Linked DNA regions of Notamacropus eugenii. The protein of the gene in region 2 purifies or fractionates together with the protein of the main gene of each other region. This does not show direct contact. Links are inferred from orthologs where the notes say so. Each region holds a gene or a part of one and is shown on either strand. Other genes may lie near its edges. The genes, in order: SLC9A6, CLGN, TCTN2 and PTPRU.

Region 1 (7,517 bases), on a different chromosome or scaffold from region 2:
AAAGCTAGCTAGCTGAACAAAATACTCAAATGCTTAGATTTCTAGGGTGTGTTATGAACAATCAGCTAACCATATTTGTTTATATAAATGCTAGTTTTCACAAAAAATATTCTTACTTTTTCAAAGCAAAGAGTTAAAGGGTCCCTCCCCTAAATAGTATTTCTAGGATTCAAACAGAAAAATTGACTCCAAACTAGGGAGAAAAAAATCAGTGGGTTCAATCTTAAAGCTTGGAGGGTGGGCATGAAGGGAATAAACGTGCCAGTAGTTAAGATGGTAGGAGAGGAGCAAGAAAAAACTGGGAAAGATACTCAATTGCATTAAAAGAAAACCCCAAACCAAACTTACTCTGTGCAGTGCTGAGAATCTGAAATCTTTTTACAACCTCTCATCCAGGCTCACACTATCCCTTTGAGACTGAGAGGTAGACAAATATCACTGATCCCCCATTTTACATACTGAGAAACCTTGAGAGGTTAGCAAGTAATCAAAGAAAAACTGTCGAGGGGGAATAGTCAGTGGAGAGCCCTACCACATTTGGCATGGACTCCTGTCCCTAGCCCAGACTGGAAAGTGACCCCCCATCTTTTAAGGCCCAGACTAGGTGGCACCTCAGGGAGCCTTTCCTGAACCTGCCAGCACTCTGGTCCTCTCCATTGCACTTCAATACAAATTAGGAAGCTCTTTTTTACCTGCCTTCCATCCCCTTAAACTTTAAAAGGGTAAAAAACCTAGCCCTAGCCCCTCTTTCTCTCCTCCAGCTTTGAGTAATGCTTGTTGATGAAAATTGAATTAATGTTCTTACATTAGGCAACATAAGAGGAAAAACGCAAAACAGAGAGAAACAGAAGTCCTTTCCTTGCTTCTTACTTACTCTGTGTCCTCCACAAATGCAATAATTAATCCTTTCAACTGAAATTCTCTAGCTCTGTGAGCTTAACCATTTATCCATTTAGCAAAAGTTAACAGTGACCCACCTGGTTTGTTTTTTTTTTAATGCAACATTTTAAAACAATCAGAGAAAGATTTTATGCTTCCAACATATAAGTGAGCATTTATAGCATCCCTTCTAGCCTAACCTAGGAAATCCAGTCCTCCTAAGAAGGAAAAATTTGGCATATAGAACCTTATGACACTGATGTTTGTATGTGTGTGTATTCAATCTGTCCTGTTAAATGGACTGTAGACTGTCCAAGAGTTTTGGGTTATTTCCTACGTCTAGCACAGTGTGGGTACCCAATAACTGATAATAATGATAATGGAGATTGAGTATTTTAGCATGATGTATAAACCCAGATATCTAGAAGATCATTTATTTGGGTAAAAAGATTAAAAGTGAAAAGATACAAAATATGCAACAAAAGGGAGACTTAAAAATCTTAGACCGCACAATTTCTAATGCTTTCTACATGACATTCATGCATCAGATCCCGCAGTGGGATTATGCCCTCGGGAGTCTTTATAAAGGAAAAGATAATTTATAATGCAAAAGTCTGCCGAGTTTCCAAAGCTATGATGAGTTCCAATCTAAGAAAATCATTACCTTGCAAGTGAAAATGACTAAGGGTGTGTGCATTTTTCTGAAACTCACTGAGAACTACCTTTTCTTATCCTCCTTGAGATACATACTCAGAGGTAAACACTTCATGAATGGAGTGGCTCTTTGGGAGCCAAAGTCTTCAACTGACTTCGAGTCTGAGGCAAAGGGGCAAACATTATCGGGCTCCCTGCCACAGCCACAAGTGAGGAAAAAAAAACAATCTCACCTGTATGCTGTGTAGAAGGGATTATTCGTCGACAACGATTTCTTCAGACATAAGCAAAGACACATATACACAGTGATCACCCAGTGGAGTCATCTTTGATTAAGACAGTCGGCAATACCTCTCTAGAGGGCCCCAGTTTAGGAATGAGATGGATCTGTGTCTCCCAAGGGGACTATTTGCCATTACTTCCCTCCTTACCCGTTAACCAAAAAGAAAAGAAAAAAAAAGACAGACTAGAAAGCCATTGAAACCACTTGTAAGGGGTTAATAATCTTATGACTGAGGATGTGTAGTGTTTATAATTAGTTTTAGATTAACCGTCTTGATCACTCTGTAGTAACAACCGTCCTGGGAAAACTTTTAACTCTTTCGTTAGCTGACTTGGGACAACCAGAACCTCCGACGTGGGATTCTAACAAATTCCTACTAGAATGCAGCCAACAGGTTGTTAAGGAGACGCAGTTAATTGCTATGGATCAACAACAGATCGGTTCCCCAAGGTCCCGTAGCTTTAAGTTTGACCACCCGGGGAGAGATAAAAGATGTGCCCTTCGTCCGCCGCGAGGGCAGAGAGCTGAGTGGGTGCGAGAAGACAAGTAGAGGTCGAATCAGTTTTTCGGAGAACACCAAAAACTGACAAGGGGACTCCTCTAGCCCAGATCTCCACACAGGCAGGGGAACCCCGATGCAATTTCAAAGAGGCTAAGAGAGAGGCGCGTCTCCCCCACCCCACCCACCCCCCTTCACCGGTTGGGCAGCCCTCCTCCCCGGGGTCCCCAAGAAGCTGCGGTCCCGGGACGGTCCCCGACCGAGGGGTGGGCAGGATGGGGGGCAAAGGGGAGGCACTTGCCGTAGATCATGGCCAGGCCAGTCTCGTGCAGGAAACGGGCCCGTCGGTGTTTGAAGAGCCATATGGTGAGGATGGTGAGGGTGAGGAGCAGGATGAAGATGAGCAGGTTGGCGCTGTCTTGCCGGTGGCTCGCCTCCGCCTGTTTCTCGGACACGATCTCCTCCTCCATGGCCCCTACGGCTCCGGCTCCGCCACCGTCCTGGGCACCCGCCCAGCCACAAGCGCCAACAGCCAGCAAGAGCCAGAGAAGCCGCCCGAGCGCAGGGCTGCGGGAGCCAGAGCTGCCACTGCCGCGCACGGGAACCCTCCGCCAGGCGCTCAGTGCCATGGTTCCCCCAGCCCCAATGCCACCGCATCCGCCCCCCGAACCAGATGCCGTTTGTTGTCCCCGGCCACTCCCAAGGGCTCATGGGAAGAGGGGCGGAGACACGGCAGAATCGGCCCAGCACAGGCTGACCGAGCGACCGCCCACTCCTCGCGGCCGGAGCTCTTAAAGAGACCGCCACGGTACCGGCCCCTACAGCCAGTTGAGTGGGAGGAAGGTCATTTGATCCAGCCCCCTGCCTCTGGGAAGGGCGGCATCTCCCCTATTGACGCCATACCTTACACTCCATGGATTAATCACCCATTGTTTGGGTACCAGCCAGCAAGAGCCACAGTGATATCATTTCCCGTACAGACCCCATGTACATGGAAAAGAGGCAGTGTGGGCCAATAGACATTGTTTCTGGTTCTGGCCCAGCCTTCAACACTCCATATGACCTTGGGCATGTCCCTTCCTATCTCTGGGACTCCATTCCCTTCTCTGCAAAGTGAGGACAAACTGGAAGATCATAGTGTCAGAGCTTAGAGGTCATCTAGTCCAGCTGCCTCATTTTACAAGGGGGGAAACTGAGGCCCAGAGAAGGAAAGTTACTTGTTCGAGGTCACACGCTTAGCAAATGAAAAAGGTATCATTACAACAACATGCCCACTAGCTCCACTACCCTAAGGTCCCTTCTAGCTCTTACATTCAATCAATATTAGAAAGATTCCACCACCACCACCACCACCACCACCACCCCATGGAAATTCACAAATATATTTTCCATCATTTAAAGAATTATTTTGGGAAGCTCAAGATCAATTTCATGAACCCTCCTAACAAGGAGGGCTGCCTTGGAGTAATCATAATAGCTAACACCAGATCTTAGGATCAGCTGGAAGGTACCTTAGAGATGAGTCCAATGCCCTCATTTTATAGATGAAGCAACCAAGGCACAGGGAGAGGTTAAATGAGCTGTCCAGTGTCACAGATCTAATGAATATCTGAACCTAGTTATTCCATATTCCATGTCCACTGCCCTATTCATCATCCTCTTCAACTGCCTCTTCCACATTATATAGGGCTTTAAATATAATGTCTCATTTGATTGGAAGGTAGTGGATTGATCTTAACGGGAGGTCTTTGTGCAGAAATGGGATAAGCAATTATTGGTGGTTTCTTGTTTAGGCCCAGGTTGGACTAGATGGTCTCTGAGGTTCCTTCCAAACTCTGAGATTCTTTGATTTGCTCAAGGTCACACTGAGAGTAAGTGGCAGAACCAGGTTTCAGAAAAGGTCTTTCAGTTCTACATCCAGATCCTCTTTCTACTATATATAGAGTTCTCTACTAAAGGAGTGGAGGCAGCTACGTGAGGCTGCACTGCATAGAAGGCAAGGCCTGGAGTCAAAAGCACTCATCTTTGTGAATTCAAATCCAGCCTCAGACATTTCGTAGCTGTATGACCCTGGGTGAGTCACTTAATCTTGTTTGCCTCAGTTTCCTCATCTGTAAATGAACTGGAGAAGGAAAAGGCAAACCACTCCAGTATCTCTGCTAAGAAAACCTCAAATGGGTCACAAAGAGTTGGACACAACTGAACAACAACAATGAACATAGTTGTAAGACCTTCTACAACAACCAAAGGAATAAACCTAAATGCTAGTTTAAGGCCACAGGGTAGAGAAACCAACCAAAAAGTTACAACTGACACAGCAAGTGCCTAGAGGTACTACTTCAAAACAATGGGCACAGAGAGTACTGGAACAGACCAAAAAGAAGGAGGTTCCTTCAAAATGTAGCCCAAGGTCTCTAGAAGAGAAGTAAGCTGGGAGTGCTGAGTCAACTAGACCACCTGAAGTTCAAATGAGAAGTAATTCAGAGAAGAAAGAGTTTTCAACTGTAAGCATAGGTATTTAGGGAACAGCTAATCAGGAAGACCTAAGTCCAAATCCAGCCTCGGACACTTCCTAGCTATGTGACATAAAAGCTGCCTGCCTCACTTTCCCTAACTGTAAAGCAGGATCAAATGGGATAATATATATAAAGAGCTTATCAAGTGCTTACTATATGCAAAGCACAGGGCTAAGCTCTGGGGATGCCAAAAGAAAAGTAAGCCAGTCCCTGCGATCAGGAGCTCAGTCTAATGGAGGAAAACAACAGAGATTTAGCTGTAAGTCAAATGAAAAAGTCCCACTTTCCTTAGGGTGCAACAGCAATGCAGATGGTAATACTTCTCTAAGGTCATTTCCAATGAAAATATACCAATTTCTGATGTTGAACCATTTGATGGGGCCAAGGACTTTGGAGGGGAGAATATTCCCTTCTGTGCCTCCACTATCTGTATCTGTTATATAGCCATTTCAGGGGCAGTAGCCAGGCTGCCTTCCATCTAGATTGTTCCCCAAGATGGTAGCTGAGGGCACTGAACTAGAAGCATTGCTATTCCAAAGGTTCAGGGTATGAGGGGAGAAGGCGGTCAAGGTGGTAGTAGTGGGTTTGACTTTCCTGACACATGCTACTTCCTGTCTCTCCCCCAGGGGGGCTGGCTGTTTCAACTACATTGACCTCCCTATCCTGTATGGGACAATTCCTTGGCAGTTAATGGGGATGAATGGTCCCTTCTCCACAGGAAGTTGCTTCCCAGGATAATTGTTGAGGGCTGGGCTGGAAGCAAGAATGGTGGTCTCGGGCGAGGGGGGAGGGTGGTGCTGCTACTCTCAGGGCTCTTAAGTCTTCTGTTGGTGACATTTAGCAGCTGTTGCTGTTGGTGAAGAGGAAGGTGGACCCCTCTATACTACATTTCTCCCTTCAAGAGTGGCTATGGGGGCTGGGCTGGAAACAGGTCTGGTGGTTTGGAGAGCACTGCCATTTCCAAGGCTCTTAAGCCCAGGGTCCTGGGCTGTCTCCATCACGTGATCAAAGGGGTGGTAGGCAGTTTGACTTGCCTGGAATATACTGTCTCCTTTTTTCTCCTTCAGAGTGCCCAGCCATTGTTATTATTTATTAGTATTATCATTAGTATTATTAGCCAGGCCTAGGATCAGACCCAAACTGAGTTCATGGCTAGGGGATAGAGAAAACTCCCCCAGGGAAAGAATCAATAGGAAAAAAGGTAAAGATCAGAGAACTCCCAAAATTAAAGGTAAGGGTTGAGGAAATGAATTCCTGAAGAAATTTAGCAAAATAAATGTACTGACTTGAGACTGAGAACTGTTTAAACTTCCAGAAAATTAACTCTGAGAGCAAGATTAAAAGTAGGGAGTCAGAAATACAGTTCCTGAAGACTGATAATGAAACACACTCCCCACATCCTGATAGAGAGAGAATGGCCTCAGAAGGAGACATAGATGTTTTGGACATGGCCAATACAGGAATTTGTTCTGCTTGACTATCCATGTAACAGGGGTTTGTTTTCTCTTGCATTCTCAACTGGGGTTGGGGAGAGGTGGAAGAGAGAGAACGCAGACCTGAAAATACAATGAAATGGAATTTTTTAAAAAGTAGGGTGATAGTAAGAGAGAAGGAAGTATTTAATTAGATATTTCTTGGTTCCAGTGAACATGTAGGAAAGGAACTATAAGGCCTCTGGCACATGGTAGCTCTTCAAATACTTGAAGTCAGCTCTCATTTGGCACTGTATTATTATAATACAGGAATAGATGGGGCACAGCAAGGGAGGTAAGTCTCCCCAGAATCAGAGGAAGTGTAGACCCTGTCAGGGGGTTGTGCTTCTATTCTGGGCTGGACCTTACTCAGTCTTGATATTAGAACAGACTGAAATGCTCAGACGTCATTCAGCAGTTAACAAAAGATTTACTTAGCTGGAGTAGAAGACACCACATGGACTCTGCTGAACTAAGTTCCTTTGCTGATATTGCCCACTGTTTTGCCCACTTGAAGTGACTCAGGTGACCAGGAAGTGATGTCACCATCCCAGGCCTTTAGTCTCCTGAGTCAATCAATCGTCAAGGAAGTTCAATCCTTTTTAAGGAAAAAAATGAGTCTTACTTCCATAGAGGCAGGGTTAGATATTTTTTCCACCACAACTTTCTATAATCTGTTCATTTAATGAAACAGATGGCAAGCCATCCATGTCTGTCCATTCTGTGAGACTCATAAGTTTGCATGGATCCATCATGCTGAGGGCCTTCCTCCAGTTCACCTGACATCATGAAGGTACCAGTGGAACTCTCGGGCTATCAGTTATCTCTCCCTCTTGCCACATGGCCCAGTCCATCTTCCTTTAAAATCATATATTCCTTTGAAGATATCCTTTACTTTTCCTGCCTAATTCTTTGTAATGTGTGTTTTGCTGTTGCCCCTTGTGAGGCCCTTAACTTCAGTTCTATAAAGACTAGAATATTCCATGACTCCAAGTCACATGATAACACCAGAAAAATGTCGATATTTTTAAATAGAGGCCTTTATTTCATAGGGAAACTTGGGATCAGTAAAAGTATCAAAAGAATCAAATCACAAAGTATCTGAAGTGGGAGAAGATACCAAAGATGTAAAAAAAAACCTCATATATTATTACTACCAAGAAAAAGGCAAGCAAGAATACATCTTGGAACCTATAGGCCTGCTTTCCCATCTA
Region 2 (7,718 bases):
GTCAAAGGAGGTGTCTAAACTTCTTGAAAATGCTGTTTATATATGCTGTCTCAACTTCCTTTCCTTCCAATAGATTCAAAACCCTGAGCAATCTCATTCTTACCTCAACATTCAATTCCCAAAGATTTGAACAGTCTTACATGACAAATCTATTCATTGTCTTTTCTCAATCTATGTCCTTCTTGAGCTCTCTGCAGCCTCTGACGTCATTAATCATCCTTTTATTTCTGCATACTCTTCCCTCTTATAGGCTTTCAGGTCACTTTTTCCTGTGGTTCTCTACCTACCTAACTCTTCCTTCCCAGAGACCTTTTTTGCTGAATTTTCATTTGGGTCATGCCCAATAACCATGAGTGTGGTTCTCCCCCCTCACCCCGCTACTCCAAAGCTCTGTCCTTGGTTGTCTTCTCTTCCACTATCTTGCCTGATGATATCCATGAGTTCAATGAACAATTAATTTCTAAGGAGATGATTCATATATCTACATACCCAGCAGTAACCTCTCTCATGAGCTCCAGTCTCCTTCCACTGCCAGCTGCCTTCTGGACATCTCAATAGCGGATGTTTCATAGATATCTCAAAATGACCATGTCTAAAACAGAACTCATTTATAATCTTTTTTCTGCAAACACAATCCCCTTTTACAAACTTCAGAGTCACACAAGTGTTAATGTTGAAGGCGGAATTGGAATATTTCTGGCTTCTAGGTCCACATATCTACTATTTTTTCTTGAAGAGTTGTCTACACATCTACACTTGTCCCTGCAGCCTCACTACTCTCAAGTTCTTGGTCTTACCATTTCTTTCCTGAAATTGTTCCCAACAATGGCCTTAATTCACTAGGCCCAATACCTCCTTTTTAGTTCTCATCCTGCCTTCTCCTCAGCAAAGAAAGTCCCTATATTGCACATTTAGAAATCTAACTCAGAGTTGTGAGGTATTCTTCAAATGAGATCATGTATGTAAAGCACTTTGCAAACATGAAGACATTGTGCATGTCAAATATTCATGATGATGAGATTGCTAGATGTACTGTGTCACACAACAGGCACGAACCTACTGACATGAAGACAGGGTGGCTATTAAAATAAAGCTGATAAGATCACCAGGATAACGTCTAAAGGAATAATCAGTTGTTTTTTTCATCCGGGGACCCTACCACAAAAAGGGTCTGTTTGTCCTTAAATGAGCGCATGGAAATAAACTGAATTGTCGGATGTCAAAGTAAACTAGCGAGATAAAACAAATGCTTTGTGTAATCACCTCCTCACAAGCCAGGGACCATGATCACAATGGGTCTAAAACGCCATCTCCAAGTCAAACTTTCAAAGTCACAGAATTTTTGGCTTTTGTAACTGCAAACTCCGTGAATGATTCAACATTTGGCCAGCCACTGAGTTAACTGATTTTTGCTCCAATATTTATAACTATTTCTAGTCTCTGTTTTGTCCACTCTCACATGTTCGGCTTCTTTTTATTTCATAAATATTTACTAAGCAGAGCTTTTCACTCTATTTAAAATGTTCAAAGGGACCATGGATCTGGACTAGAAAAAGGCTTCTCAGAAAGTCTTCTACAGAGGTGAATGGACTTACTCAAGGTCATTCGGGTAATAAATAAGTTATAAGAGGCAGCACGGGAACCTACCCAAGTAATCCAGAGCTAGGAAGAACTCATCAATAAAAAGTTCTCAAAAGGGATACAAGTACTTTAGGGGGGGATGGATAAAACAAACATGTTACTCAGTCCAACAACAGCGCGGGAAAAAAATCCAACAACTGCCCAAATCACCAAGTCGTAGATCTTCAGTCTCAGCAGACACCTGTCAAGGTACTGTCGCAATGGTTGCCGTAACTTAATTTTAATTTTGCAATGAAAAAGCACAGAAAATTGTTCAGTGCTGAAACCAAGCGATGCACTTCCAAAGAGCCCGCCACCTCCTCCGGACAGAACGTCCCCGACTTAGAGTCTAACCCCACGACGTCAGCCCAGACGAGCCGCAGCGGCCCCTCGGCCCCTCCCCCGGGACCGTGGCTCCGGCTCCAGGAGCGGGCGGACCGCCCCCCGCAGGCCGCCTCCTGCCCGGCGCGCCCCTAACTCGAGCCACTGATTAAAGTTAGGGTGAACTCTCCCGGGCGCGCCGGGACTCAGGCACCTCCCCCTCAGCCTCTGGGGTCGCCGAGCCCGGGTCACGCCAGAACCGGAGCCGCCGGCCGGGGAGAGGACGGGCCCGAGGGCTGAGCGCCGACAAGGTGCGGGGGTGAAGGGGGCCCTGCGGCGGGGGCTCGGACTGCCCCCGAGGGCCCGGCGGAGGGGGGAGGGGCGCGGCGGTCCAGCCCCAGTCTCTCCTGGGGCCGGCGAAGACGAAAGGCCCAGAGAGGCGGGCCCCTCAGAGGGTGAGCCCGGGGGTCTCCGCCCCGCCGGCGCCAAGCAGACCCCGGCTAGGTCCCGATCCCAGGCGGGCTGCGCCCCTTCCACGCCCCGCCCCCCGCCGTGGGGGCTCCCGTCCTGCCGCGTACCTGGCTCCGGGGACGCGCGCTTCTTCCCGAGGGCGGGGGCGCGCGGGGCTCGAGCGCCCAACGCCCGGGCACGGAGGCGGGAGATGGTAACCGCCGCTATAACGGACTCGCGTCCAGCCCCGGCCGGCCCCCTCCCCCTCCCCCTCCCCCTCCCCTCACGTCCCAGGCAAAGGCGGGGGGCGGCGGGGGAGCCCGGCCGGCCCCCCGGGCGCACTCAAGCCCTCCTCCCTCGCCGGGGCCCAGGAGGGCCCCTCCCCCATTCCTCCCTCCCCCCGTCTCCCGGCTCCCAGCGGACTCTCCTCTAACAACTCCGACGTCGCCCCTGCGCCCCCGCCCCGCCCGCCGCTCCGTCCCCCCCTCCGCCCCGCCGAAGTCACGCACCTGTGCTCGGGGCGGGGGCCCTCGGTGGCGGCGCTTCGCCCGTCCGGCCGGCGGCCACAGGGTGGTCACCCCACCACGAAACCGAAGTCGCCGCCGGCCACTTCACGGCTTCTGCCAACGGCGCATGCGCGAGCGGCGGCACGCGACGGCTCTCCCTGAGCTCGCGCCCCTCGGGACGGGGGGGAGGGGGAGCGCCCCCCGGGGCCGACGGGCCCCGACGGGCTTTGGCGCACGCGCTCTCCCGCAGCTCCCGAGTCCCTCGGGCTGCTGCCTGGCGGCCGTGCGAGCGGTCGTGGGAGCGCCCCGGAGCAGACGCGAACGTCCCCCGAGGCCTGAGAAGCAGGCTCGGAAAAGTGATGTCCCAGTTCGGGCAGGAGCGGCGCGCCGTGGGAAGCACGCTCACCCACGAGAATGCGTGGACGCCGCTTCTTCCTGGGGGCTCCGGCCCGGGATGGTCCCGAGAAGTGGCGGAGGAAGCGTGGCGGCGGGGCTGACCCGGGGCATTCCTGCGGAGTCCGCCTTCGCAGTGAGCGCCACCGGGAGGCTCCGGACCGCCCGGACCCAGGGTTTGGATCGCGCCTTTGGAGCCCCTGAGGATGTCGGACCCGAGAAGATGGGGGCGGGGAGGCGCTCTGCGGCCTCCCCGAGAAGGGCTCCGAGGGCAGCGAACCGTCCGCAGGGCTCAGCAGCCCGGGAGGCCTGGGCTCCTGCCGGCGTCCTGGGTAGGAATGCCGGACGCTTGCTAACAACTAGAGCCGTCCGAAAGTGGAGCGGGGCGCTCCGGGGCGGCATTGAGGCACGGGCTTGTCAGGGGTGTCGTGGGGCTGGAGCGAGGGGCATCTGAGGTTCCCTGATGGACCTTCCGGGCAGGTCCAGCACACCAGGGCCGGCCTGAGAGGTTCTTGGCAAACACTTGCTCAAGTGTCTGAGGCTGGATTTGAACTCTGGGCTTCCTGACTCTAGGCGCAGGGCTTTATCCACTGTGCCACCAGCCGCCTCGTATACACGTAAAGTCAGGAAAACCTGGCTTGACCAGGCCGTTTAAACTTTAAGTATTCCAGGCTAGAGGTGTCAAACGAGAGGCAGGCAACGTGACCCACAGCGCTGCCAGACACAGCCAGAATCGGGAAATATTTAACAAACTGTAATGACATAATACCACATTGTGAAACTCAACCAGGAGGGAGCTTACCGGGATCCCGGGGAAGGTTTAGTGGCGCTCTGTTTCTAGCTGATTTTCACACTGTTCTAGGCAGCTCTGCATTTCAGAGAAAGGAACAGGCTGTGTTGGTAGAGGAAGTTCGCTTAAGTGGGAATTCCCCAAACCAATGAAATCCCAGTCCCTATGATGGGAGAGAAGATAGGCTGTTCGTATGGCAAGAATGAAGGATGACAAGTGGACAACCCTGTCAACTTTAGGAGAGATGGAGAAGGGCCTGTAAGACATTGGGTGAGATATCTGTCTGTCCAGTTTTTGAAAGAACCTAGATGACTGTGAATTGGGTTGTTGAAGCGAATTGTTCTATCAGTGAAATCACTTCTACGTTTGGTTATCTTATTTCCACAGTTAACAATTATTCACATTTTACAGGAGAGGAAACTGAGATTGAGTAGCCTGGTCAGCAGAGAGGAAAAACCAGGTTGAGGATGGCCAGAAAGCCTCAAAACTGCCAATGAGTTAGGGGGAGTGTCTACCCCAAGCATGCAGAGACTTCCCCTGGTGGAATGGGCAAATGAGAACAATTTGTTGCAGTGGCCATGAAGGTGGCTGAAGCAGGTGGTGTGAGGTGCTTAGAGCTTGGTCAGACATGGGGCACACCATACACAAGAAGCAGGATGTGGTAAGGGACAGGGAGGGAAGCAATGAGGTACCTTTTTAGTGGAATTGACCTGAAATGATTCCTTCTTCCCACTCAGTAAAGGAAAAAAAAATCAGAATTTGCCAAAATTGGTATAATAAAACTTGTACTACCCCTCTCAAAGTATTGTAAAGAAAGTGTTCTGTTGATCTTGTATAAAAGTAAATGTTTTATTTCAATAAATTCTTAAAATAAATTGTATTCATAACATGTACTATAAGTAGTGATATGTTATCTTCAACTGATATCCCACTTAGTATATGATTGATGGCCACTTTTTATTCCTCTTCCTGTTCCCAACAACATTAAGTAATGGCCTTTGTCAAATTATGTATTTTTCTTCCATAATGTATCCACTTCTATCAGCAGTAAACTTATGAGAAATTCCCACTAGCAAGAGTCCTGTCTGAATCGTCATTGTATGTGCCAGCCAATTCAAGAAATAATGATTGTTCGAAGGGAAAAGCATTAGAAATTAATAAGTTTTGGCTGCCGCAGATGATGTAATTGCTACTGTTTTGTCTTCTCACATATTACAAGAAGGATTGTCTTAGTGGGCATTTATGTTGAATGTATTTATTTCTATAGGAATAATTTACTGTATTTTGCATATTTTCTGTGTTAGAATCTGTCCTGATCTTTCTATCTCCGTCCCCCATTTGGAAAAATCTAAATTAATATAATTTGTGGTAAAAGAAACTAGTAATATGTAATTGCTATTATATTTTTACTAAAGTTTTTATTTGTCCTTACTAGAATTTGGGAGAGGAACGCATTCAGACATTGCCACACGTATATTTGCAGGAAACTATCTACTTATATAAATCTTTGGTGTACCACATGCCTGTTAAATTATATTACTTATAAACAGGCTTTTAATAGTGAATTGATATTGCTGCCTTTAACAGAAAATGCAGATTCTCACGCTGGGGAAATAAATACATGTGTGTATACATATATGTGTGCATATATATACATATGCGTTCCTTTGTCAGGTTTCAGAGTCTAGGTTTGAAACTTATTCTACCAAACCTAAGGACGTGATCCTAGAGAGATGGGCTGAACACTTCCACAGTTTACCTCAGGTTGTAGTCAATCCCTCTTTAGCTGAACTTCCAACTGAAAAAGAGGTTTTGAGGACCATAGGCTCCTTTCATGTGGCAAAGCACCTGGTGCTGATTCTATTCCAGGTGAGATTTACAAGGTAGGGGGACCGTTGCTCATACAAAAGCTGACTGAAATTTTCCAGGTTATGTGACAAGAGAAGGTTATCCCCCAGGAATTCAAGGATGCTTCCATTTTTCGTCTCCATAAAGGTAAAGGGAATAGATTGTCCTGCAGCAATCACAGGGGGATCTGTCTCTTAGTCATTGCTGGCAAAATTCTTGCTAGAGCCCTTCTTAATAAGCTGAGCCCTCATGTGGAAGATGGTCATATACATGAAAGCCAATGTGACTTCAGAAAGGGCCAAGGAACAGTCAATATGGTGTTTGCTGCCCGACAACTCCAGGAGAAATGCCAGGAGCAGAACAGAGGTCTGTATACAACACTTGTAGATCTAACCAAGGCCTTTGACACTGTTAGTCATGAGGGCTTATAGAAAATTATGTCAAAATTTGGTTGCCCAGAGAAATTCATCAGTATTGTACGTCAGTTTCATGATGGCATGTTTGCCTGGATTCTGGATAATGGACAAAGCTCTTGTGCCTTCCCAGTCACCAGTGGAGTGAAACAGGGCTGTGTGCTTGCTCCCATGCTTTTTAGCATAATGTTTTCAGCCATGTTGTCAAATGCTTTCAATGAGGATGAACATGGCATCAGCATCAACTACCATGCTGATGGTAAGTTCCTCAATTTGAAAAGGCTACAAGCCAAGACCAAAAGGGAGGGAGTAGTGGTGCATGATTTTCTGTTTGCAGATGATTGTGCACTCAATGCAACCTCTGAAGCTGAGATGCAACAAAGTATGGATCAATTCTCTGCTGCCTATGCTAGTTTTGGCCTAATAACACCAAGAAAACACAGGTGCTCCATCAGCCACCACCATCCATATGTGGAACCATCAATTACAACAAATGGAGAAGTTTCAAATGCTGTGGGTAAGTTCACTTACCTTGGTAGTGTACTTTCCAGGAATATACACATTGACAATGAGGTTGATGCACACATTGCCAGAGCTAGCTCAGTATTTGGGGGGCTCTGAAGAAAAGTTGGGGAGAGAAGAGGTATTAGACTGACTACCAAACTGAAGGTCTACAGAGCTGTTGTGCTGACCTCATTGTTGTATGCCTGTGAAACATGGATAATCTGTCACTGCCATGTCAGGAAACTGTATCACTTCCATTTGAACTGTCTTAGGAAGATTCTGAGGATCACCTGGCAGGATAAGGTACCAGACACTGAGGTCTTTGCTCGAGCTGAACTGACAAGTATTCAAACTATGCTTCAGAGAGCCCAACTCCAATGGGCTGGCCATGTTGTTTGAATGCAAAATGTACTCTTGCCAAAACAACTATTTTATGGGATAGGCAATCACATGGTGGTCAGAAGAAGCGATACAAAGACATTGTAAAGGTCTCTCTCAAGAACTTTGGGTTTGACTGTGACCACTCAGCATACCCACATCAGAAAGGGTACTGTGCTCTATGAGCAAAGCAGAATTGAGACAGCACAAAGGAAACATAGGATGCAGAAATCTGGAGTATCCACATCAAATGTTCATATAGATGATCTGTGCCCAATCCATGGTAGAACATTCCAAGCTCATATTGGTCTGATCAGCCATAGTTGTTCACACTGAAATTTTACTTTATCATGACGATGTCATTTTGGTCTTCTTCAAGAACGAGGGACAACAACCAACCAACCAAATCTAATTTACATGTACACTAAGACATTTGTTCAGTCTTTTTTCAGTCATGTGACTGTGACCCCATTTAGGATTTTCTTGGCAAAGAGA
Region 3 (6,981 bases), on a different chromosome or scaffold from region 2:
CTGCAATCTACTGGGGGTAAGGAGGAGATCAGAAAGTAAAAGCCAAGCACAAAGTAAATGCAGAGTAATCTGGGGAGGAGCTGGATGGTAGGAACTTGCTGGAGGGCTCCACTGAGGAGGTGGTACTTGGGCTCTGCCTAAAGGAAGCTAAGGAACCTGGGAGAGGGAGGGGAGGTAGGAGCACTTTCCAGGTCGGGGGCTCATGTCTTAGCTGAGAAGAGGAAGGAGGCCAGGCTGGAGCAAAGCAGAGTAAGTAAAGAGAAGTCAGGGACAATAAGCCAGAGCACAAAGGTAGCAGAGGAGTCTGGAGTTTATCCCAGAGGCAACAGGGAGCCTTGGAGCTTGCTGAGGAGGGGGTGACAGATATGACCCTAAATGGAAAACGAAGGGCGGCAGGTGGTGCACTGGATAGAGCTCCATCCTGAAGTCACCTCAGACACAGCCTAGCTGGACCAGTCCCTTCACCCTGTTTGCCTCAGTATCCTCAGCTGTCAAATGAGCTGGAGAAGGAAATGGTAAAGTACTCCAGTATCTCTGCCACGAAAACCCACAGAGAGTCTGAAACAACTGAAACAATCGAATAACAAATAGAAAACGAAGAGATTTAACATTGAACATACCATATCGGGAGTCACGGTCAGACTCCAGTTACTGGTCCCATTATTCTGCAGTCCACAATCAGGAATGGGCAAAATCCCTAAACAAGAGGAGGTAAGACCAGAGAATGTTCTCATTCTACCTTTACGCCCTCAGAAGGTTTAAGGACGTTCTCCTCAGAGAGCATAACCTTGCCTTGCAGCTGTCTCTGAAGCAGAAAGCAGCCCCCTTCCCCTTTGCCCATTCTCCAGACTGCCAATTCTGGAAGTCACAGGATCAGACCTTGGAGAGCCAAAGGCTGAGGGAGTATTCCCCTTCCCCCAAGGGCAGACTGGGCCCGAAGCCCTCTGTGTTTTCAGTAGGTTTTCCCAAAGCCAGCTGCTTAGCCTCCTTACCCAGCTCACCATCCCACACAGCGAGGCTCACACTGACATCCTCAGTATCTCCAACCAAGGCTGCACTAACCGAAGTATCAAACATTCGAATGAAAGGAGGGAGAAAAACTGGCAAAGAGAAGAGTCAGGCGTTAATACCACTCATGTAAGGACCATGAGGAACCCCTGAAAATGAGACTTAGAGCTTTATGGAACATGAGAATCAAGCAACCCCTCCTAAGCATGTGCATGCAGGACTGCAGGGTTAGGGTCAATAAATAACAAACATTTATTAAGCGCCTATTGTGGGCCAGGGACTGGACTGAGAGGAGGGGGGGATACAAAGAAAGGCAAAAAACAGTGCCTGACCTCAAGGAGCTCAATCTAATGGGTAAAACAAGAGCAAACTACTCTACCATATAAGATACAGATGAACAGATGAGAAGGAATCTCAGAGGGGAGTCCCAGGAGGCAGGCACTGGGGGACGGTCACTGTAGGTTGTGGCGATTTTCCTTTGCTCCAATGCTGGCAGCAGAGGTGGCCCCTTGCTGGGAATAGCCTAGTCCTGGGACTTTACTCCCTTTCCCACATCTAGTCTCTGCAAGCTACAAGGATCTCCTCAGGATCCCATAGCCAGGAAATGTGTGAGCAGGATTTGAACACATATCTTCAGGGAATCCTAGATCTGGAGCTGGAATGGACAGTAGGAGCTATCTAATCCAGCCTCCTCAATCAAGAGTGGAGGAAACCCGAGGCCCAGGGAAGTTAAATGATTTGCCCAGACTCATAGAGGGAACAACATCGCAGGTGGATGTGGACCTGGGTCCTTGAGACTCTAGAGCAGTGATTCTTTACTTGGACTCTGTGAATTGGCCTCTTTAATAGATTGGTAATTATTTCAATATAATTAGTTTCCTTTGCAATCCTACGTATCTTATTCCATGCATTTAAAAACATGGTTGTGCCAAAGAAGTCTGGGGCAGAGAGGTGGTTAAAACCCCTGCTCTGAGCTGGCATTCTTTTCACCAGACTCCGTATGGCTCACTCTCGGGACATGAGGTTGCCCATTGCCTGGTACGGACAGTCAGTCACCCAGGCACTCTTATTCCAAAACTAAAAAAGGCTTCAGCAGGTGCAGCTGTGGTAGCTGCTACAAAAGCCTAGTTCGAAAGTTAGCAGTTATTTAGCACTTTTTATGTTACCTCATTTTAATAATAATGATACCTGGCCTACGTGCAGTGCTTTAAGGTTTGCAAAGCACTTTACAAATAATCCCTCCAGGTTAATAATCCTTATTATCATTAGTAAGAGCTAGCAATATATAGTGAGCAGTTCTATAGGTTGGCAAAACGCTCTACAAATATTATCTCTAAAGAATAATAACAGCTAGCATTTATACAACGTCTTAAAGTTCGTAAAATGTGTTAAGATATCTCATTTTAATAATAGCTAACATTTTTATAGAACTTTAAGGTATTGCAAAGAGCTTTAAAAATATCTCTTAAAATAACTGTTGTTGAGACATTTTCAGTTATATCCAACTCTTTGTGACCCCATGTTTTCTTGGCAGAAATACTGGAACGGGCTGCCATTTCCTCTCTAGCTCATTTTACAGATGGGGAAACTGAGGCAAAGAGGGCGAAGTGACTTGCCCAGGGTCACACAGCACAGAGCTGGTCTGAGTAGGGATTCGAGCGCCCCCTCCCCCGCCCACAGCCCCGCCCACAGCCCCGCCCACAGCCCGCCCATAGCACAGGCCCCGCCCCCTGCCCGAAGCTCCGCCCCTACCCACCAACGTCTCCCCACAGGGCCCTTGGGAAGCAGAGAGGGAACAGGAGCAAGAGCCAAAGCTGCGGGGCCGATGGCGGGCAGGGCCCGGCCGGGCCCATGGCTCCCGGCTCGCCTCCCCGCGCTGCCCCACCGATGCCAGGGCCTGGCTCTGCGATCCCCGGCAGGCGGCACGAGCTAGGGGCGCAAAGGAAAAGGCGTCAGCCGCGCCCGGCCAGCCGCCGCTGCCATCTTGTCAACGGAATGCCCAGGACTAGGCAACCGCCAATCAGCTGCAAGCGAAGAGAGCGCGCCCCACGATTGGTCTAAAGCGACGGAAAGGACCCGCCTTCCTTCCCCGCCCATTAGCGTCACCTCGCGGCCCCGCCCACCTCCTCCTGGGAAGCCCTAAGTGGGTTGCATAGGAGCTTGGTGGACGGAGCTCTTGGCAAATATGCATACTTATGTGTCTTCTATATATAGTTATATTTTAAACTATATTGATATGTCACATATGATTTATATGTATATTTATATAGAATAAATATCTATTCATATGTATGTATATGATATATATGACAACGTATAACAAATATAAACAAGTAAAAATAATAAAAATGAGATATTCGTAAAGATGAGATAAAAAGATAACGACTTGCAACAACGCACGCGTTTGAAAAAAACTGTAAAAAAAGTTGTATAAATGCTTACTCCCTCTCTCAGAATCCCTGGTGCTTAACAGGTTCTTGTCTCCATAGTCAACAATTCAGCTGACTTTTTATTATAATAAAGGATAATGAACCTGTGATTTTATTGATAGAGAGAAGTCCCAGGTGAGGAGATCCCTCGCTACTTCTCCACAATGTATAGTCTTGTTGAGTTGCTTAGAATACAGAGAAGTTAAATGACTTGGTCAGGGTTATACAGTCTGCACATGTCATTGGCAGGTTTTGAACCCAGCTCGAAGACCAGTTCTTTTTCCTCTATGCCACTTATTACAATACAGAGCCTAATAATGCCTTGTATTTAGGCAAGTCAATATGTATTTGTTAAGCACCTACTATGTGCTTAATTGCGCTAAGTGCTTCAGATATAAGAATTTATCAATAAACCCCTATGAGCTGTAAATTATGATTATGTAAGGCCTTAGGTTGGGAGCTGCTCATTTCTTTCAATATTAGCCAAAGGCATGACATGTCTTAGTTATTACATCAGAATGTAACTCTTCTTTGCCCAACTGTTGCTTCATTCGGTTAGAGGAGGCATTGGGAGATACAGTCTTTAAGACAAGTTATGGGTAGCCATGTTTGGCTCCACCCATCCCCACCACTCTCTTTACTCTCTCATAAGGAGCCCCTCATTCTTGGACATGGTCAAAACTCGAGAGCTAAGTTACAGTCAAAACCCAACAAAAGGAGGAATTCCTATAAATCTGGGTGACACCCACCCAGAGTAGATTTTTCTTTTCCCTCTAAACACATTGGTTGGTAAGAGGAATTTGGCCTGTGATTGCTCTAGGATTAAAAGTGTTTGGCTTGACCTCTTATGATTGAGGCAACTGTGAGCTCCAATGGGGGGGCATTCTCCAACCAAAGTCAACCAAGCAGGAACTAGGTACTCTCTCAATGCTCATCATTTGCTCAGCCAGCTGTGACAGCCTGCACAGGGCTAGGAGGGCTTTAGTAACACCAAGAAAGACTGGAATCCTAGGAATAAATCTAGAATCGACAATGGATGCCAAGCCAGGGATCCCTGCCTCTTTTTTATACAGAAATGTCCCTTTCTACTCCCTTTATCTTTCTGACCTGATGGCAGCATCAAAGGCAGTAGCCAACACTTTTCTCAAGAAACAGAAAACTCTTCTCTGGGTAAGATGGATACAGAGATTGGGGTATTAAGACTGACCCAAGAGGACCAATATAGTTTATGGTGCAAGTCTCGAAAATACAAAGAAGGAGGCAAAATCTTAAAAAAAACTTTTAGAGGGAGGACTGGACTATGATGTCACTGATATTGGAACTCCCACTAACAAAATTCCCTCTCCCATATAGTCTTAGAGAGTTGCCTAGACTACTGAGAAATTAAATGACTCAGGGTCATATAACTGGTATGTCACTTGGAGTTGTATGTCACATACAGTTGTATGGCACCAAAGCAAGTTGCCTGGAGTCATGGAGCCAGTAAGGTCTTTCTGTCTCCAAGGCTGACTCTCTCTACCATCTCTATGCTACCCTTCAAAACTCCTTTAGCAATCAATCAATCAACATGTACTAAGCACCTACTATGTGCCAGGAACTGTGCTAAGCACAGGATACAAAGAGGCAAAAGAAAATCCTTGTCCTCAAGCTTACAATCTAATGCAGTTTTTTAAATAGATTTTTTAATGAAGTCTTTGCATATACCTATATCCAGGAATCCTCCTGTATTCCTTCCCCTTGTCTTTCCCAGAGAGCCATCCCTTGGAGAATTTTTAAGACAAGGAAAAAAAGGAAAAGAAAAATAAGCAAAACTGGTACATTGAAAAAAATCCGAGGTTATATGCAATATTCCAAACCCATGGACCCCCACCTCTGCTGGGGTGAAGGGAAAAGATTGTCATCTCTTCTGTCCTCTTTGGAGCCAAGAATTACAAAATTCTTTGTAATTTTGCAATATTCTGTCTCAATTGTTTTCTGGATATTATCCTTTCCATTTACAATGTTGTAGTTTTCTGGCTCTTTTACAGTTTACAGAATTTCATGTTGTTTATTTCATCACACATACATCCTTTCATGTCTTCCTATGCTTCTCCGTATTCATATTGTCATTCCTTACATGTTATATCATGTAATAATAATCATATTATATTCATGTACCGGGTACCAGTCCCCACCAATGGGTGTCTACTTTGTTTCCAGTCTATGCTGTGAACAAAAAGGGATGCTAGAAATATTTTGCTGTGTATGGACCCTTTCTTTTCATCAATGACTTACTTTCTTGGGTCTGTGACTAGCAGTGGAATCTCAGGATCAAAGAAAATAGTTTTTAGTCACTTTATTTGCATAATTCTACATGGTTTTCCAAGATGTTTATGCCAATTAACAGGTCCACCAACAATGTCAGTGTGCCTGTCTTCTGTAACACCAGTGATGTTGTTTTCTATTCACATCTATCCATCTTTGGGTGGAAGATGAAACTTCAGGGTTGTTTTGATTTTCATTTCTCTTATTGGTGATCTGGGGCATCCTTTTATCTGCTTTCTAGTAGTCTGTAATTCTTCTTTTGAGAACGGCTTTGTTTGAAGAATATGTTTCCATATCCTTTGACCACTTTTCTATTGGGGAATGCTTTAACAATTTAAATTTGTCTCTATGAGACAGTGTGTTTCATGACTAGAGTCCTGAAGCTAGAGGCAGGAAAATCTAGGCTCAATAACTAGAATTGTGTTAGTTGTATGACTATGGGCATACCACTTACTCTCTCAGAAGCCTGACTCCCCAACTGTCAACCAGGAATAAAAATTCTTACCTCACAGCTTTATAATGAGGCTCAAATGAGTAACTAATAACCCCAGAGTTTGTCAAATGTGCTCTGGGTTTGGGGGCTATGACAAAAAATGAAAGTGTCTGCCCTCAAGTAGCTTAACATTCTGTTGAGGGGAGACAAAAAATGTGTAAATACAAACGTCAGCTTTCACGTGCTGGTCCCCAAAAGGTAAAGTCTTTCAATGATCAATTAGTTTTCTAATTTATACAATGGATCTGCGTATGTTAAACACTCTTCCTTCTTCAGCTATGCATGCATGACCTATAGTGCAGTTGTCCCAAGTTTTACAACAATTCAGTACAGTAAATAAAACATGGGCTTAGCATTTCAGTTACTGGGTACATGATAATGATAACAGTAATGTCAAAATCATAACTAGCATTTATATAGCTCATTTGTACAAAGAGGTCGCAATAGTACTTATCAGGGTTGTGGTGAGGATAAAATTATATATATATATATACGTGTGTGTGTGTGTCTATATATGTGTATATACATACATACATACAATAAAGAGAGAGCACACTTTACAAACCTTAAAGCTATATAAATGCTATTATTTTTATTATTGGAATCCATTCTAGGTCTGGGGGACAAGCCTATGCAAAGGCACAGAAACAGGTGATGAAACGTGGTCTCATCCTTCTCAAAGCAATATTAACCATTTTGGAGTTCATGGATGAAGATTTATCCTGCTCAGTAAATTAAGTGAAATAG
Region 4 (7,808 bases), on a different chromosome or scaffold from region 2:
CCAAGGGCTGAGATGTCTACACTGACCCCAGGAATCAGGATGTACACTATCTCAAAGAAGTCAGGGGTCCTCAGAGGTCAGGGAATTGGGCTTTTATCTATGCAGAAATCCCAAGCCAGTGGGCATCCAGCTTGGACTCTGATGGGTTAGCTCTCTGCCTCCTGAGACAACCCAGTCTATTATCCCAACCTCGACCATTTTTACCCCAGTCCTTGGAACAGCGGGAGTTCTAAACATTCTCCTCCCCAGTCCAGACCTGGTGAAGAGGGAAAGTAGGAAATGCTATCCCACCACTCCCTTGCCACCGGTCCCCTCCCTCTCCGCTTCAGAGCCCAGGACCATACAGAGCTCAGTTATGAGGACCCAAAGCTCCCTTCCCCCAGCACAAATGACCTCAGTTCATGGAGTTGGACTGAACCTTCTATTAATCAGGAGGGGTTTAGAGAAGGCTGTGATCAGGGCCCCACCCTGGGGGGTGGGGTGGGAACTAAGATCGGGGAGGGGAGAGGTACACAGAAAGGTGGCCAATGAAAATTCATGACTTGCCCAAATAAAGGAAAGAGATCCTGCTCCCCACCCCCATCCAGGGTCCTTTAGAAGGATCCCCCTTTCCAGGATACAGGACATTAAACTGGCTGATGGGGGGAATCTATTTTCCGGAGAAACCATAGAGCCCCCAAGGGGGTCATAGGAGCAGCTGGGAGCTACCTCCCCTTCTTAGGCCCAAAAGGTTACTGGCCATCCTGGGAAACCCAAACTGGAATTCAGCTCTTCGAGTTCAGATCTCGACAGAGTCCTGTTGTGATGGGCGACAGGAAGGCGCCAGACAGTCTGGGTTTGAGGTGGGGGCCACCAAACCGGAGCGGAAAGAAATCTCTCCAGCGGAGTTTGGAGACATCCAGAGGCCACCCCAGCCGAGGGTCAGGGCTGCAGTGACCTCTGCCCCTCCAGGAATCATCCCGGGATAACCCTTCTAGGAGCTCCCTCCCCATCATCCAGGCCTCCCCCAGGTTACAAGGTGCAGTCTGCTCCCTTCCTTCAGCCTCCAAGTCAGTCCTCGGCTCTCCAGGCTGAGCTCAGACGCGGGGCGCGGCACTAGAGGCCTCAGGGCCCCCTAAGTCAAACTGCTGTGGAAAACAGGGGCCCGGGAGCCCGAAAGGGGAGGAAGACGTGGTCATGATGGCCCTCTGCGAACCTGCGTTGTTACTGGAGGGGGACGGAGCCATCACCTTTTGGCACACCCGCCCCCGCTCCTCCACTTCCACCGGGTTAAGAGACCAAGTGCTCCCAGGCCGGGAGAAGAGGACCGGCGTGGTTGGTGTCCCTCCCCCCATCGTGCACTGGCAGACACACACTGGCATGGACTAGACGGACGCACTCAAGCAAGCACGCACACGCACACACACACACACACACACACACACACACACACACTCTCACATACTGGGCTCACGCTACACCCACTGTGAAATGGACACACTTCGAAACACACGGGCACAGACAGACACAGGGCACGCTCAGATGGACGGAAACAACAGACAGAAAGGCGACACAGATAAAGAACGGGTCACACAGACGGACGGACAGAGGCACAGGAGCCACTTAGACAGAGGGACACGCAGAGACAAGCACACGGACACGCACACGGGCACACTCAGACACAACCTGTGCCGGATTGCGGAAAGACCCGGGTACAAAGTTACGAAGTCGGCGGGGGTAAGGGTCCCTAGGGATCCGCTGCCCAGTCTGACCTCTCCTTGAGGCTGTTCCCTCCTAGGAGCGGGCATCACCGAGAGGGGACAGGAGGACAAAGAGGGGGGAGAGATGGCCAAAGCAGGCACTTGCCGACGTGCCCCCGGGTGAAACCTGCTCCCAACCCCGGCTGCTCTTCTCCCAGGCCGGGCGAGCTCGGAGGCTTCCCAACGGGCTCTCCCTCCTGAGTCCCAACTGAGAGCCTTCTCCACCCCCCACTCCCCACCAGCCCCAGCCAGGCCACAGTAGCTCCGCTCTCCCCCGAGTGCCTCCTCTCTCCTCTGCGGTCTGTTCGATTCTCCCCATCTCCGCCTTCCTCCGAGATGTCTCTGGCTCCCAGGTCCCCCTTTCCTGACTCGCTCTCTCTTTTCTCCCCGACCCTTTCTTCCTTCTCCTTTCTCTGCCCATTCTCGCTGCCCTCTGCCTTCTCTTCCCGTCTCCACTCCCTCCTTCCTTTTCCCTCTCTCCTTCCCTCCTTCTCCCCCCTCCCCCTCCCCCCTCCCCAGTTCCCCTCGGCTCTCTCTTCCCCCCACCTCCGGCCCGGCTCCTCCCTCCAGCCCCCAGGCCCGGCCAGATTCCCTTTCTACGTTCCCGCCAGCTCCCCCCGCCAGTGTAAACCGATGGACCGGGAGCCCCGGGGCGCTGACCGAAGCTCGACTCCGTCTCCGGAGCGAGCCGCTCCGAACTTGCGAAACAACAGAAAGCAACCCACAACATGTCGGTGTCAGCGGCCGGCCGACACCCCCTCCAGGCCAAGCTGCCCTCCTGGCCCGAGCCCCGGGCCCCCAGGAGCCCAGGGCGTAGCACAAACAAGTTGTTTGACCATTTTGCGCGCACACAAACACAGACACACACAGAGACACACACAGACACACAGTCTCAGCACGCACACACAGACACATACAACACTCACACATACTTCCTTGCTGCGCAGCCCTATCTGCCCCAAGGTGCACGGGTCCAAGGGTCCCCAGCTTGGGGTCCCGGGTCACAAGTTGGGGTTCGGGAAGCGGGGCCCCCGGGGAGGGGGTGGGGAGTCCCGGCGGGGGGGGGGGGGGATCCAGTTCTCTTACCTGTGGGAGTCTCGCTTTCCAGCGCGCAGAGCTGGAAGGTGAGCGCCAGGATGAGCGCCTGGGCGCCGGTCATCGTGCGCCACCCTCGAGGGCCCCGGGGCCACGGGGAAGGAGCGTAGACCGGAACCCCGGAGCCTCCCGAGCCGCCGGAGCCGGAGCGGAGCCGGGACTGGCACTGAGTCCGGAGCGGGCGCTGGAGCCGGAGCCGGAGCCCTGACGTCAGGAGCCCGAGCAGCGGCCTCGCGTTCCAAAGGTGGGGGGCGCCTCCTGCCGGTCCTTGTGTGGAAGTGCGGAGGTCTGGAGAAGCTGGGCAGGGACTGCGAACCCCACAACCCGCAGGGAAGTGAGAGGGGGAGGGCCGCGACCCCCGAATCACCGCTAGGGCCACGGAACTGGGAACAACAGAACGGCACCGATACGGGGGCATCCTAAGCCGCTGGTGCGCCCACCGTTCTCCAGTCCGGTCAGTTAAAATGTCCGGAATCCCATTAGACTCTTGGTTTTGTACACACTCTCCCTTCTGGGTCACTGAGGCACTCAACCCTGGGATCACTGTCCCATGCGACCAGCACCAGGACCTGAAGCTGGTCCCTCCGCAGCCCCTTTTACCGGGTCTATCCTCTTGGCACATTCAAACACGTATTCTACAGCACACCTAGGAAAGCAGCCTTCCACAAACCACTCACTCATACACATACTTTCAACCCTACACAAATTCAGAGAGCCTTATACCCTAGTAGAAGAATATAAACAGTCACCTGTCAGACCTGTCAGATCATACACAAGGCCCTGAGGACCATAAGGTTCCCATTCAAGTAAACGTCAAAGAATCATGAAATGGCAGATACTAAAGGGGATCTTAAACCTTAAAATGTTAGAACTGGAAGGGCCTTTAGACTGTAGAATGTCAGATCTGAGAGGGATCTTAGAACACAGGATGTCGGAGCTAGGAGAGATCTTAGAACACAGAAGGTTAAAACTAGACAGAATGTTAGAATGGAGAATGTCAGAGCTGGAAGACCCCTTAGAACTTAGAATGGCAGAGCTAGGAGTAACCTAGCCATAAAATAGGAGCCATAAAATGGCATATCTAGGAACCTTAAAGCACATAACATTAAAATTGTAAGGAGACTTAGTATATAAAATGTTAAAATACAATGTCAAACATTATTGATCTTATACTCAGACACATCACTTTATAGATGGAGAATCTAAACCTCAGAGAAGAGGAAATGACTTGCCCAAAGTCCCACAGCCAAGGACAGTTAAAAACTGGAATTCAGGCATCTTGACTCAAATATCCTTTCCATCTTCCCTCAAATATGCATGTGATCAGTCAACAAACATTTATTAATCACATACTGTGTGCCAGGTATTTTGCTAAGAGCTGAAGATACAAAAAAAAGCCAAAACAGACCCCACTCTCAAGAAGCTCATAGTCCAGTGGGGGAAGTAGCATGCAAAGGACTAGGTACATAAAGGATATATTCAGGATGGAAGCTTTACACTTTCCCCAAAAATGTATGGGATTTGATTGATCACACAATATGTAAGATCATAGACTTAGAGTTGGAAGGGGTATTAAAGGTCAGCTAGTCCAATCCCCTCATTTTATAGTTGAATAAACTAAGACCCAGGGTCCCCACAGGTAGAAAGTGAAAGTAAGACTTTGAACACAAATTCTGAGATTTCAAAACCATCATTTTTTTTTCTACTATGCCCTGGTGCTTGAGGAGAGCAGGGGAAATTCCCTTGACAAAAATAATAATAATTTTTTGGAATTGCAAATACTGCATGCATATATGTACATATACATATATCATACATATATATGTGTATATATGTGTATGTGTATATATATATGTATATGTGGTTTGTGTCTGTATACATATATACAGACACACACATATACATGTATTCCTGTGCTACACTCCAGGCAGTTGCTAACCATCCATAGCCCTCCTGATAATCTCTCTACCCTACTAAGAGAAAGTGACTGCTCTTTGCTGCTGTCTTTGAGATCTTGGGAAATTCACAAAGTCTCTGGCCTGCAGTTTCCTCACCGATGAAATGAAAAGCTTGCACTGAATGCTTTCTAAGATTCCTTCCAGCTTTAAAGCCTATGATTCCTTCAACAGTCTACAATCAGTGGTGTCTCCCTCTGCAGGACGCTAGAGTCCTAGCAGTCCCTCAGGCAACTGACTGTTTACTTGAACTGCGGTTAGTATTCTCTAGATACCTCTGTATGGAATTCAAGCCACTAGTGCCCAGGGCAAAGGCCTTGGAGAGGGGCCTAATGTCCAGAGCCCTTGGTTTCTGGCCTCCTTAAGGCAAAGAGTCTAGGGCATTAGAGACAGTGTACGGTACTGTGTAGAGTCTCAAAATCTTAGAGTAGCTTTAGAAGGGAACAATACTCCTTACCCTCATTAGCTCTAAGTTCCAGCCAAATTGGCATATCTGAGGCTCCCTAATCTGTCATTCTTATTTGTCTGGTTTTTTTAAGAATGATTTTTTTCTTTAGGTATTTTCCAAGGACTTTTGTTTACTCCTATTGTTTCTCTTAACCAGAAAATAGTATTCCTTCTCCCACCTCTACACCTTTGCCCAAACTATGTTCTCCTTCCTCACCTCTGCCTCTTGGAACCCCTAGCTCCCTTCAAGCCTGGGCTCAGATATCAAGTCCTAAAAAAGGCTTTTGTTGATTCCTCCAGTTGCTGGTGCTACCCCTCCACCTCCCACCTCCAAAAACTAATTATTTTGCATCCGTTGTGTTTATATTTCTCTATTTCCATGTTGATTCCCTCCACTAGAAGGAATGTGAGGATAAAGACTGTCATTTTTGTATTTGTTATCTCCTGGTGTCTAGTATACAGCAAGCACTTCATTAAGGCTTGCTGAATTGAATTGACCTCTGAACACTTCTAGTCCATACTACACACACACACACAACAACCCCCAAAAAAAGTCATCCAGCCTCTTGCCTGTGATGGGCACAATGTGGGACTTGGGAGTCAGGAAGATCTGAATTCAAATCCTACCTCAGATATTTACTACCTATGGGTCTCCTGGCAAGGTATCTCCATTTGCTTCAGTTTCCTCATCAGTAAGATAGCACCTAGTCACAGGGTTATCATAAGGTTTATATAAAGTGGTTTACAAACCTTAAAGCCCTTCAGGATTGGGGAGCCTGCAGTCCTTGACTGAATTCTGGCTGCACTTGAGAACCTAGAGGACCACATGTGACCTTGAGGCCACAGGTTCCCCACTCCTACACTATACAAATACTATTATCCTTACCTCCCAAGGCAGCCCATTGCTCTCTGGGATAGCTCTAATTTTCATGTAGTACTGGAAGTAAGAAGACCTGGTTTGGAGGCACTCTTCCCCCTCCCTACCTCAGCCCTGCCCCACCTTCTGCCATTTACTAATTATGTAACTGTGGGCTATGGAGTTGAGGGGAGGGGTGTTCAGGAGGACCAGCACCTCTGGCATGAGGGCATACCCTTTTCAGGACTGCTCATCCACCTTTGGTGTCCACCTTCACCTAGCTCTCACCAGTGGCTCCAAGAAGCTGTAGTATACTCATTGGACACACCCAGGTAAACCTCTGGGAAGACAGACTAGACTAAATTGAAGGTAATTGATGGGCCTCCAAAACCACCCAGTGAATTAGGGGGATGTCTACCCCAAAACTTCAGTGGAATGGGCGGATGAGAACAGTTTGTTCCAATGACCATGAAAGCAGTTGAAGCAGGTGTTATGTGCCAAGGTCATCCACTGCATCCCAGGCCGTCACCAATCAATGACTTTTGTCCAGCTGTGTGACCCTGTGTGACCCTGGACTTTGATGATTCTGGAAGAGCTAGTCAGGCTGGCAATTTCGTGCAACTCTGCCTCACTTAAATCTAATTTATTCACAAATCAAGACATCACCCCATGATGTCATTGGACCTCTTAAAAATGAAAAACAAACAACAACCTGTAGCTGTGGGCCAGAAGACCCTTAACCTCTCCTGGTGCTGATACATAAACATGGCTTTGGCCTAGACAAACTCCATCAAACTCATCTGTAAAGCAGGGATAACAAGATCAGCACTGCTTCCTATCCCCTGGGTCCCTTTGTGAGGGGCCATTCAAAGGCCCTCTGCTGGGGTGCTTGAACAGCGCTGAGTTCTTGTCTCTGTTTACTCCTTCCCAAGAGCCCACATCCTTCCCAGTGGGAAAGCACCGATGTCAGAAATCTCCAGGCAATACCACTTCAGCTAATCCAATGAGCTACTACTGTAGGTGAAAATGCTTTGAATCCTGTAAAGGACCACCGTGATGTAAGGCTGCACTATTAGTTATACTATAATGCTGCAAGAAAAGAAAACCTCTCACCTCCCCATGGAACTTTTCCCAAAAAGCTTCAAGTGCCTATATGATCATTGTACTATTTGTCCCCCCCTTAGGGAGTAGGATTATCCATACTTCCAAGGCTCAGGAAAGGTGACTTTTCCAAAGTAGCACAGCAAGACAGAAGCTACTAGGGTTCAAGCCGGGGCCATAACCACACTGATGCAATTGGGGATACAGAGGTAATTTTCATGTCTGAGACAAGAGTACAAAACATGGCTGGGACCAGTAACATAAACATAACCCCAGATAAACTTTGTACCATCAATTCAGTTTGTTTGTTAGGGGGAGAGATGCCAGGACACAAGAAAGTTGCTTCTGGGACTGTCCTAGGAGGAGATCAGAGGCAGCATGGGCTAAGCCAGAGTACCATGGCAATGGGTTAGCAATCCATCCATCAATTAATTAATTTTTATTCAGTGACTACTACATGCCAGGTATGGTGCTAGCCATTGGGGGTACAAAAACAGTCCCTGCCTTCAAAGAGCTTATATTCTATCAGGGGAGACAACATGGAGAGAGAAAGTGGGGAGAGAGGGAGAGGAGAGAGAGAGAGAGAGAGAAACTCCCCACAATAACACTGTGAGG

What was found.
Region 1: the proteins of CLGN (region 2) and SLC9A6 purify together in Homo sapiens (co-immunoprecipitation; 3 studies listed by BioGRID and IntAct, with this or other methods). This does not show direct contact. The link is inferred for Notamacropus eugenii from reciprocal best matches to the Homo sapiens genes CLGN and SLC9A6.
Region 3: the proteins of CLGN (region 2) and TCTN2 purify together in Homo sapiens (affinity purification with mass spectrometry; 3 studies listed by BioGRID and IntAct, with this or other methods). This does not show direct contact. The link is inferred for Notamacropus eugenii from reciprocal best matches to the Homo sapiens genes CLGN and TCTN2.
Region 4: the proteins of CLGN (region 2) and PTPRU purify together in Homo sapiens (affinity purification with mass spectrometry; 3 studies listed by BioGRID and IntAct, with this or other methods). This does not show direct contact. The link is inferred for Notamacropus eugenii from reciprocal best matches to the Homo sapiens genes CLGN and PTPRU.

What each region holds. Positions count from the first base shown.
Region 1 is NC_092879.1:57,255,544-57,263,060, reverse strand, and holds the start of SLC9A6 (sodium/hydrogen exchanger 6), read right to left. Parts: upstream 3,021-7,517; 5' UTR 2,945-3,020; coding exon 2,617-2,944; intron 1-2,616. UniProt on the Homo sapiens protein: Endosomal Na(+), K(+)/H(+) antiporter. Mediates the electroneutral exchange of endosomal luminal H(+) for a cytosolic Na(+) or K(+).
Region 2 is NC_092877.1:137,228,100-137,235,817, forward strand, and holds the start of CLGN (calmegin), read right to left. Parts: upstream 3,020-7,718; 5' UTR 2,901-3,019; intron 2,612-2,900; exon of another isoform or gene 2,520-2,611; intron 1-2,519. UniProt on the Homo sapiens protein: Functions during spermatogenesis as a chaperone for a range of client proteins that are important for sperm adhesion onto the egg zona pellucida and for subsequent penetration of the zona pellucida.
Region 3 is NC_092875.1:38,956,565-38,963,545, reverse strand, and holds the start of TCTN2 (tectonic-2), read right to left. Parts: upstream 3,021-6,981; 5' UTR 2,862-3,020; coding exon 2,765-2,861; intron 1,101-2,764; coding exon 993-1,100; intron 698-992; coding exon 621-697; intron 1-620.
Region 4 is NC_092876.1:70,423,292-70,431,099, reverse strand, and holds the start of PTPRU (receptor-type tyrosine-protein phosphatase U), read right to left. Parts: upstream 3,015-7,808; 5' UTR 2,899-3,014; coding exon 2,826-2,898; intron 1-2,825.